Cricetulus griseus: one gene and its partner. The protein of the gene in region 1 binds, or shares a complex with, the protein of each later gene. Links are inferred from orthologs where the notes say so. Each region holds a gene or a part of one and is shown on either strand. Other genes may lie near its edges. The genes, in order: Bmp10 and Acvrl1.

What was found.
Region 2: the proteins of Bmp10 (region 1) and Acvrl1 are in contact, whole or in part, in a crystal structure (PDB 6SF1), measured with the Homo sapiens proteins. The link is inferred for Cricetulus griseus from reciprocal best matches to the Homo sapiens genes BMP10 and ACVRL1. Residues at the interface, in NP_055297.1 of Homo sapiens: Tyr322, Asn357, Tyr358, Pro359, Ala361, Glu362, His363, Pro366, Thr367, Lys368, Ile371, Leu375, Leu378, Lys379, Ser381, Lys386; in NP_000011.2 of Homo sapiens: His40, Val54, Val56, Arg57, Glu58, Glu59, His66, Gly70, Asn71, Leu72, His73, Glu75, Leu76, Phe84, Val85, His87.

Annotation. Positions count from the first base shown.
Region 1 is NC_048601.1:55,891,356-55,895,608, forward strand, and holds the start of Bmp10 (bone morphogenetic protein 10), read right to left. Parts: upstream 2,847-4,253; coding exon 2,513-2,846; intron 1-2,512. UniProt on the Homo sapiens protein: Required for maintaining the proliferative activity of embryonic cardiomyocytes by preventing premature activation of the negative cell cycle regulator CDKN1C/p57KIP and maintaining the required expression levels of cardiogenic factors such as MEF2C and NKX2-5.
Region 2 is NC_048595.1:397,572,066-397,575,879, reverse strand, and holds part of Acvrl1 (serine/threonine-protein kinase receptor R3), read right to left. Parts: intron 1,168-3,814; 5' UTR 1,164-1,167; coding exon 1,100-1,163; intron 598-1,099; coding exon 346-597; intron 149-345; coding exon 1-148. UniProt on the Homo sapiens protein: Type I receptor for TGF-beta family ligands BMP9/GDF2 and BMP10 and important regulator of normal blood vessel development. On ligand binding, forms a receptor complex consisting of two type II and two type I transmembrane serine/threonine kinases.

The DNA of each region.
Region 1 (4,253 bases):
GAGAAGCTTTGAGGGATCTTTACTAATTGGGGGGACCTCAGTGGATATTTACACTTGTAAACACTTAAATTATGCACATTAAATACATGCAGATTTCTATATATTAACTATACATCAATGAAGATGTGCTTTTAAAAAATAAGCTCATATTCAAGAGATTGAGACAGAAGGATTGTGAGTTTGAGACCAATCTGGGATTCATAGTAAAATATTGTATCAAAAGAAATTGTTTACAGTGTTTTAAATTTAAATGTGAATATTTCATGGCCAGCCTGGGCTACATGTGGTGAGTTCAAAGCCAGCTTAAAACAAAACAAAGCAGCACACACACACACACACACACACACACACACACACACACACACACACACACCAACCTTTAACTAAATAAAACCACATACAGTTCTTTGTATATGTGATAAGAGATCCATAGAAAAGTCACATTTTAGAGCAAGAGAATTAAGTCTGACAGATTTCACATGTCAATTGCTCTGCAAATTGTGTGACTGTCATAATGACGCCCACAATGCATACATGGATCTGATGCTAGTTCTGCACCAGAAGAAACCAAGCCTCCATGTATAGATCTGACTTCCTAGACAATACAGAGGATGGAACCAAGCTGAGAATTGAAGCCACGTTTTCCACCTTGCATGTGACACCCATTCAAAGATGAATTAGGTTTGGAGTACTCTTGGTCTTTGCCTCCTAGCTCATGTCACTGAGCAAACACAAAAGATGTATAGATGGATGACAACAGCCAACAGGGAGAGCCTGGTGAGGGGGACACATGTCCTCTGCTATATGAGTCTTCCTCTAGATTGTATAAGTGCAAGGGGGTGAATGGCTAGGTGTCCCCAAGTCTGATCTTCCCCCAGTAGTGGTAAGCTTGCTCACATTCTCACCTTTATCACCTGCTCTTCCATGTGAGGAGCACGAAATAAGAGTGGAATAATTCATTTCCACCAAGCCTGAGCTAGACCACATTCCCACTGTACCTGAGCTAGACCACATTCCCCTGTGCCTGAGCTAGACTGCATTCCCCCTGTGTCTGAGATAGACTGCATTCCCCCTGTGTCTGAGCTAGACTGAATTCTCCCTGTGTGTGAGCTAGACTGAATTCTCTCTGTGTGTGAGCTAGACCACATTCCCCCTGTGCCTGAGCTAGACCACATACCCCCTGTGTCTGAGCTAGACTGCATTCCCAACATGCCTAAGCTGGATCATGGCTCAGAGGAGGATGCTGAGACAGGCTCCTTCAGGAGGTTGCTCTTTCCCTCTTAGACTTGCCTTCAAAGGAATCTGAAATCTCTGCTTGCAGTTTCCACCAGAAATATGCTAGTAAATAGAAATGGTGGTGACCAGCTGAATTTTAAAAGCAAACACTATCTTGGTGTCTGAGGAATAACCATTCAGAGTTTACTCTAGCACCTAGAATATTAAGCAATTCATTAAAAGTCATCATGGTTTGCCCAGCACCTCCTAACAACAAGCCTTCTCTTGCCTCTAGCTGCTTGTGATTCACTTATCTGTGTCACAGAGTTTTACAGGGGGAAATTGGGGCTCCCATCCCTTAGTCACATCTTCCCAAGGCAGCTAGCTCTCAGCACTCCTGAGCTGTTTCATGATACCGCCTTCTGCTTCCAAGAGCATCTGGCAAACCTTGATCAAACCTCGTTTTTACTGGCCCAGTGTCTACGGAAGCACAATTGGTAAATAAACAATAAAGAGCCAGTTTCTCTATATCCACAGCCTCTATCATCAATATCATATTTTTTTCTACTAGTACCATATGAAGAAAGGGTTAGTTTGCTGACTCAATTAAAGATCTGAGGGGTAGGAATCTCAATTTGAAATTTGTACATCACTCTTCATAAAGTCACAGTCACAATAAGCTGGACTGTTAGCTGGGTCCTGTGCACTTCCTGGGGTCTTATCATGGCTCATTAAACACAAAGCAGCATTAGAAGAATCTTTCAAATGCAGTCCCCACTCTATCAGAACACTGCTTAAATAAAGTCACAATCGGAAACTCACCCAGAGTTTGGATGAAGCACAAACCCCACATTTCTAATTTCTTTTTATTGTTTTTACCATTTTTGATCTATGGAAAAGTTGGCAAATTGGCAAATTTTTATCAACCCCAGATAGAAATCAAGTTTTGTTTAGAAAGTAGCAGACAAGACAGAGCAACAGATCAACATTTATGGGTTTTTTTTTTTTTGATACTTAGTGTTCAGATTTTTTTGATACTTAGTGTCCACTATCAAGAACTGGTTCTTATGCTGGAATTTCTGGAATGAACCTTTTCTGATGCTGGAATGAACCATGGACATTTTGCGTTTTTTCGTTAATAGACATTTTATAGCGTTTTTGAAGTAGAACAGTTGATGTGCTGTGTCTGAGCCATGCATGTCCATGAGTTCATCCTCTCCCACGTGGATGTTTACTAATTGCTTCTTGAGAAAAAGCAAAGCCAAGGTTTCATAGGTGAAAACACAAGCCAGCTTACCTTCGTTCTTGAAGCTCCGGATGATGTTAGCAGATGGCATGGAGGTCCGGTCCGTGGCGAATTTGTTGTAGAGTTCTAGCATGTACTCTGGAGGATCCACTTTGGCTGTGTCCTGCTGGGGAATGTCGGACAGGTTCAACGTCTTGAGAAACTCATCCTTCATACTCTGTAGCAGTGTGTTGAAGTCCATACCGTCTTGCTCTGTGAAGATGTCGTCGAAGAAGGGCATGTCTTCTTCCAGGGGTGACTGCTCAAGGCCCATGATGGGGCTGCCTGAAACCGAGCAAGCCATCAGGCAGAAGACAGCGCTCAGCTGCAGGACCAGAGAACCCATGACTCTACTCAGCTCCCCAGCTCAACCTAGGAAGGTTTAACTCCTCTGGGCTCTAAGTGGCGGTTTTATCTTGTGGAGTGTAAATGTCTTATGTCACTGGACACGACACAAGTATGAAAACGCTTCCTCTTCTTCCCCTCCCCCTGCACTACTCCCCACCCCCCCGCCAAAAGTCAGGTTGCAGTAATTGGATAGCAAAATCCCCTATAGGGCCTAGCCTTTTCTTATCTCCCCAGTGTAAACTTGTACACCAGATTTCATTTTTATCTTGCAACCCCTTTTTCTTTTAATGAGCATTTTGTAAACACTTCCACATTCTGACACTGGTGAAGGATAAGACAATTTTCTCTTCACAAAGGCTCTGCTACTCTTTCTTTCACTTGACTTCCTTTTGGTAGGAATGTCTGGATTCTGGCCTTATGAGATTCAGTTTTGCACGTGTGTATGGCAGATATTAAGAGTCAACAGAATGCACTCAGTGGTGATGCATATTGATTCAAATGATAGGGATGTTCATATCTAAAGATGGACTAAATATCCAATGACTTCAAGTTAAGTAGATGTAAATGACTCAGAAACAAATTTTGAAGCATTTGCTTCTAGAAACAGGAAAGACTAAGAGTCACAGTCATTTTTCTACAGACTCGATCAGGCTGAAGTAAAGCCAGCACCAGATTATAATGAGGTTTGAGTGTAACATTGTGAGGAGCTTTGCAAAATCACATAATGTGTTTCATCTAATAACCCTGTTTTTATTCCTGTCATGTTCATGGGCTCCTGAGGTCATAATTGGTCAGAAGTCACCGAACTGTGCAGTTGTGAAGCCCCAGGTTGAGCCCAGGCTTTCTGATTACTGTGGAATAGAAACAGACCAACTTTGTAACCATGATTCCACTAGACCAGGAATTAGGAGTGATAGCAACTTGACTCTAGCCCAGCCTTGGATAGGCAGTAAGAAGGCAGGTAGCTAGGTGTCAATTTGGGTCCAGTGCTTGTGGTACCAGATATTTACATGGCCAAGATCTCTGTCAAGTTCACCTCCAAGACTAAGTCCAAAGCTCTATCAGCTTGCCCAACAGCATTACTAAACAGATAAAAAATGCCAAATATCTTGGTAAGGGGGTGGTGGGGCTGGTATAATTGATTGTGTGTCCACTTTAGGAATAACAAGTCAGGCTGAACATACAGTCCACACTAATTGGTGGTAGCAGGAGGCATGGTGCTGTCACGGCACCATGTAGACAGCTCCAAGGGCTGATTTCCTGCAGGGACAATCATAATGGAATCTCTTCTCCTTTCTTGGTATGTTCCCTATGCAACTAGACAGGCAGCCTTTGGTGTGGTGCATTCTGAGGACACTAAAATACTGTCTTAGCTTCTTGGTTAAGTTTTTCTACACCCCTTTTA
Region 2 (3,814 bases), on another chromosome or scaffold:
TGCAGACCCCGCTGCTTCTCCTGCCTTCGCCGGACACGCCACAAGCCCAGAGCAGCCAAAGCCAACAGGACCAGCAAAGCCAGCACGATACCCAAGATCAGAAACAGCGGGGAAATCGTAGGTGGCTTCTCCGTAGGAGTCTGGGTGGCTGCAGGGAGGGGGACATTGAGTCCCAACTCCACCAGGCCAGCTCTCCTGACCCCGAGCCAGACCACTCTGACAGTTAGATCCCAGCATCCCGCCTCCCCACACCCTCTCTGTATGGGCCAGGGGGTGAAGAGAACGTGGGGCAGAGAAGACAGGGTCTGCAAAGATGGGGAAAATTAGAAGAGCCACTGGACCTACCCTCCAGCACCAGGGACACATTGTGGTTGCAGAAGGATCGATAGCAGCAGTGATGGTTATAAACCTCTGTGGGACGTCCCAAGCAGAGTTCCTGGTTCATGTTCCCGCAGCCCCGATAGACCTTGGGGTGCCCACCCTGCTCACGAACCAGCACCACTGTGCACCATGCCCCCTGGCAGGTTGACTTCTTGCAGTGTGGATTCTCACAAGTGCAGTTCACCAGCTGATCCCTGGAGGCCTTCACCCCGCCTCCTGGGAGATATATGAGAAATTCAGGCACTCTGAGGAGGCTATCCACTTCCTCCTACTGTCCCATCCCTTCTGATCTCACAGACAAAGCTCTCAAGCCTCCGTCCTTTAATTCCATGCCCTTACTGTCCTTCCCTCAGATCCTTATCCCTAACACGCAGGCAGTAGAGACTGGGAGAAGCCAGCTTTGGTCTACTGCCTGTGCTGGGACCTTCTCTCCCTGCTACAGGTCCTTCCCAGGTCCAGGGCTCTATGTGTTCACACACCTACTTCCTCCACCCAAGATGTAGGCGCTATCCTGCAAGGAATCTCAGCCTGCAAGTCAGTATCAAGGAGATAAAAGGTTGGATCAGCTAGGGAACTAGTCTATAGGAGCCTATGTCTACCATCCAGCCAGGCTCATGTTCTCACTTCCTCGGATCCAGCCCCAGCAGAAGCTGAGCTGAGCCTAGATAGCCTTCCTCCATTCAGGTCCCTGTTTCCACACTGCTCCTCCTGTACTCACCCTTGGTTAGGCCCAAGGCCACCAGCAGCATCAGAAGGCCCTTTCTGGGGATCTCTGAGGTCATGGTCCTTGGAGATAGGAGAAGAGATGCGGTGAGGTTTGCAAAATGTGACAGCTGTGGTGACCAAGGTCCCCTCCTACCAGGAGGAAATCACTGGGAGTTCTTTTGGGGGAGGCAGAGAAGCCACCTCCCCACTCCTACGTCAGGATTTAGGGTGGGGCCTGCAAGGGAAGTCCTGCTTCACTTCCCCATGGAAACCATCTGTTGGGGGTGAAGGGTGAAGAGCTGTGTTTAAATGATGAGAGCCAAAGGGGACCCCAGCTCTGTGCCCCACTGCTGGGTTCAGACAGAAGCAGGCTGGGGCGGGGGCTGCAGAAGGCACAGCTACAGTGGAAAGAACTTGTCTTTCCTAGCTCCCCTCTGTTCTCTGTCCTCTGCCATTTGCCAATCCCTCCGGCCTCCACCCCTGCCCACCCTTTCCCAGTGCCCCTCCACCTCCCATGCCTGGCTGCTTCAAACATAAACAGGCTCCTGTCTTCACTTCCTGCCATTCAGGGTCCCGCCAGGCCGGCAACAGGAATCAAGATTGTTTAGATTGAGGTCTGGATAGGACAGTCTGGAGTCACGCACAGCAGCAGGGAGCTGAGGGCAGGCTGGAAAAAGGACAGGGTCTAAAGGGCCTGCCTGAAGAGGGGACCTTAAAAACTATCAACCCCATCTCCAGTTTTATGTTTTTATTTTTTTTTTAAATTTCATTAGTTATTATTGTGTCTGTATTTAAGGGCCCGAGTGCCAAGGTACAAGTGTGTAGGTCAGAAGCCAAGTCTGTGGAGTTGGTTCCCTTCTTCTACCTTAACATGGGTTTTGGGAATCAAACTTAGGTCACCAAGCTCATGTGGCAAGCATCATTAGCTGTTTAGCCATCTCTTTGTCCCAGCTCTGGTTTTAGAGGAGGAAGTAAGGCTTATCCAGGGGAAAGACTGTCCAGGCTCCCTAAGAATCATCTAACAGTAACAGGAGTTAACACAGGAGTCTAGAACTCCCTCCCACACTGTTCCTTCTTCTCTGTGTCCTAAGCTAGTGGGTCAGCCCCTGTTTGCATCCTCAGGCTTGTAGCAGCCAGGCACAGCCTGAGAGTGCTGAGATGTCTCTCTGGCTTAGAGCCATCTGGGCCCCCTTCTCTCTTCTTGTCCTGGGAAAGGGTGGGGGGAGGGCCAGTGGCATAGGAAGTGAAACACACTTGGGCCCTGAATGTTTGACTTTGCAGAGTTGCCTCAGAAGTTTAGTGAACACTGGTAAGAGGAGTGATTATGGTATATGACAGTCAGGAACTCAGGACCCAAATCAACTAGGGCTTTAGGAGCTGCAGTAGTCTTCACTTCTCAAAGCCTCAGGACCAAAGGGTAGAGGGGCAGGTGTCAGACAGAAACACAGACTGTCTAAACGGTGGAGTGTACAGGCTGGATCCCCAGCTAGGGGAGCTAATACAAGGAGCATCCTGTGATGATAAGACATGAGAAGGGCTGGACATACATACATGTCCTGTAATGTGTCATGAGAAGTTCTGGACATACATGTCCTGTAATGTGTCATGAGAAGCTCTGGACATACATGTCCTGTAATGTGTCATGAGAAGCTCTGGACATACGTGTCCTGTTATGTGTCATGAGAAGTGCTGGACATACATGTCCTGTGATATGACAGGAGAAGGGCTGGACATACAGTCACATATAGACTACAGAGGTCCATGTTCTAATCTTGATACCAAACGTAGACCCAAGATGCTGAGGCTTTGGGAGCAGGATGTCTAGGGTCAGGCTGGGGGGCTTGGTGGGCCTTTCTGGCCAGTGACAGCCCTGGCCTTCCTGCCTGGGTTTCCTCTGCCCCAGAGGCCCGGCCTGGGGGAGGAAATAGAGACCTGGGCTGCTGCAGCTGTGTCCCAGCCTTTGGCTGACCCGCCTCTTGCCCCTGCTAGAAGCCAGTTAGGACTCTGGTAAGTACTCTACAGGGGTCCTGGAGATGAATGCAGAGGGCATGTCCCAAGGCCATGGGCAGGACTTCACTTGCTCAGAAAGTAGCTAAGGAGAGGCTACCAAATGCCCACCTCCCTAACTGCCTGTGTGTTCCCCTTGCCTCTCTACAGCATATCAGAACCTTATGCAGTGGGTTAGCTATGTAGATCATTTGGTCTATCACCAGTTTCAGGCTCCTATGCAGTCTGTCTGAGGCCAGCAAGAAACATGCTTTGGGCAGGGTACAGTGGTAATGTACCTATGATCTAGCACACTTCAAAGGCTGAGATTAGAGGATGGGGAATACCAGCCTCAGTTACATAATAAGACCATGACTCCAAAAATCAAGAAAGAAGGGGATTTAAAAAAAAAAAGAAAGAAACGCTGGGCGTTGGTGGCACACGCCTTTAATCCCAGCACTCAGGAGGCAGAGGCAGGCGGATCTCTGTGAGTTTGAGGCCTGCCTGGTCTCCAGAGCGAGTGCCAGGATAGGCTCCAAAGCTACACAGAGAAACCCTGTCTCGAAAAACCAATAAATAAATAAATAAACAAACAAATAAGGAAAGAAAGAAAGAAAAGAAAGAAAGAAAGAAAGAAAAGCATGTATTTGTAAACAGTTCCCCAGGGAGTTCTCATCCTTCTGGGTGTGCTCCAGGCTTTGAGAAAGGTGTCTGGCACAGAGCCAAACCTGTCTCCTGTGCT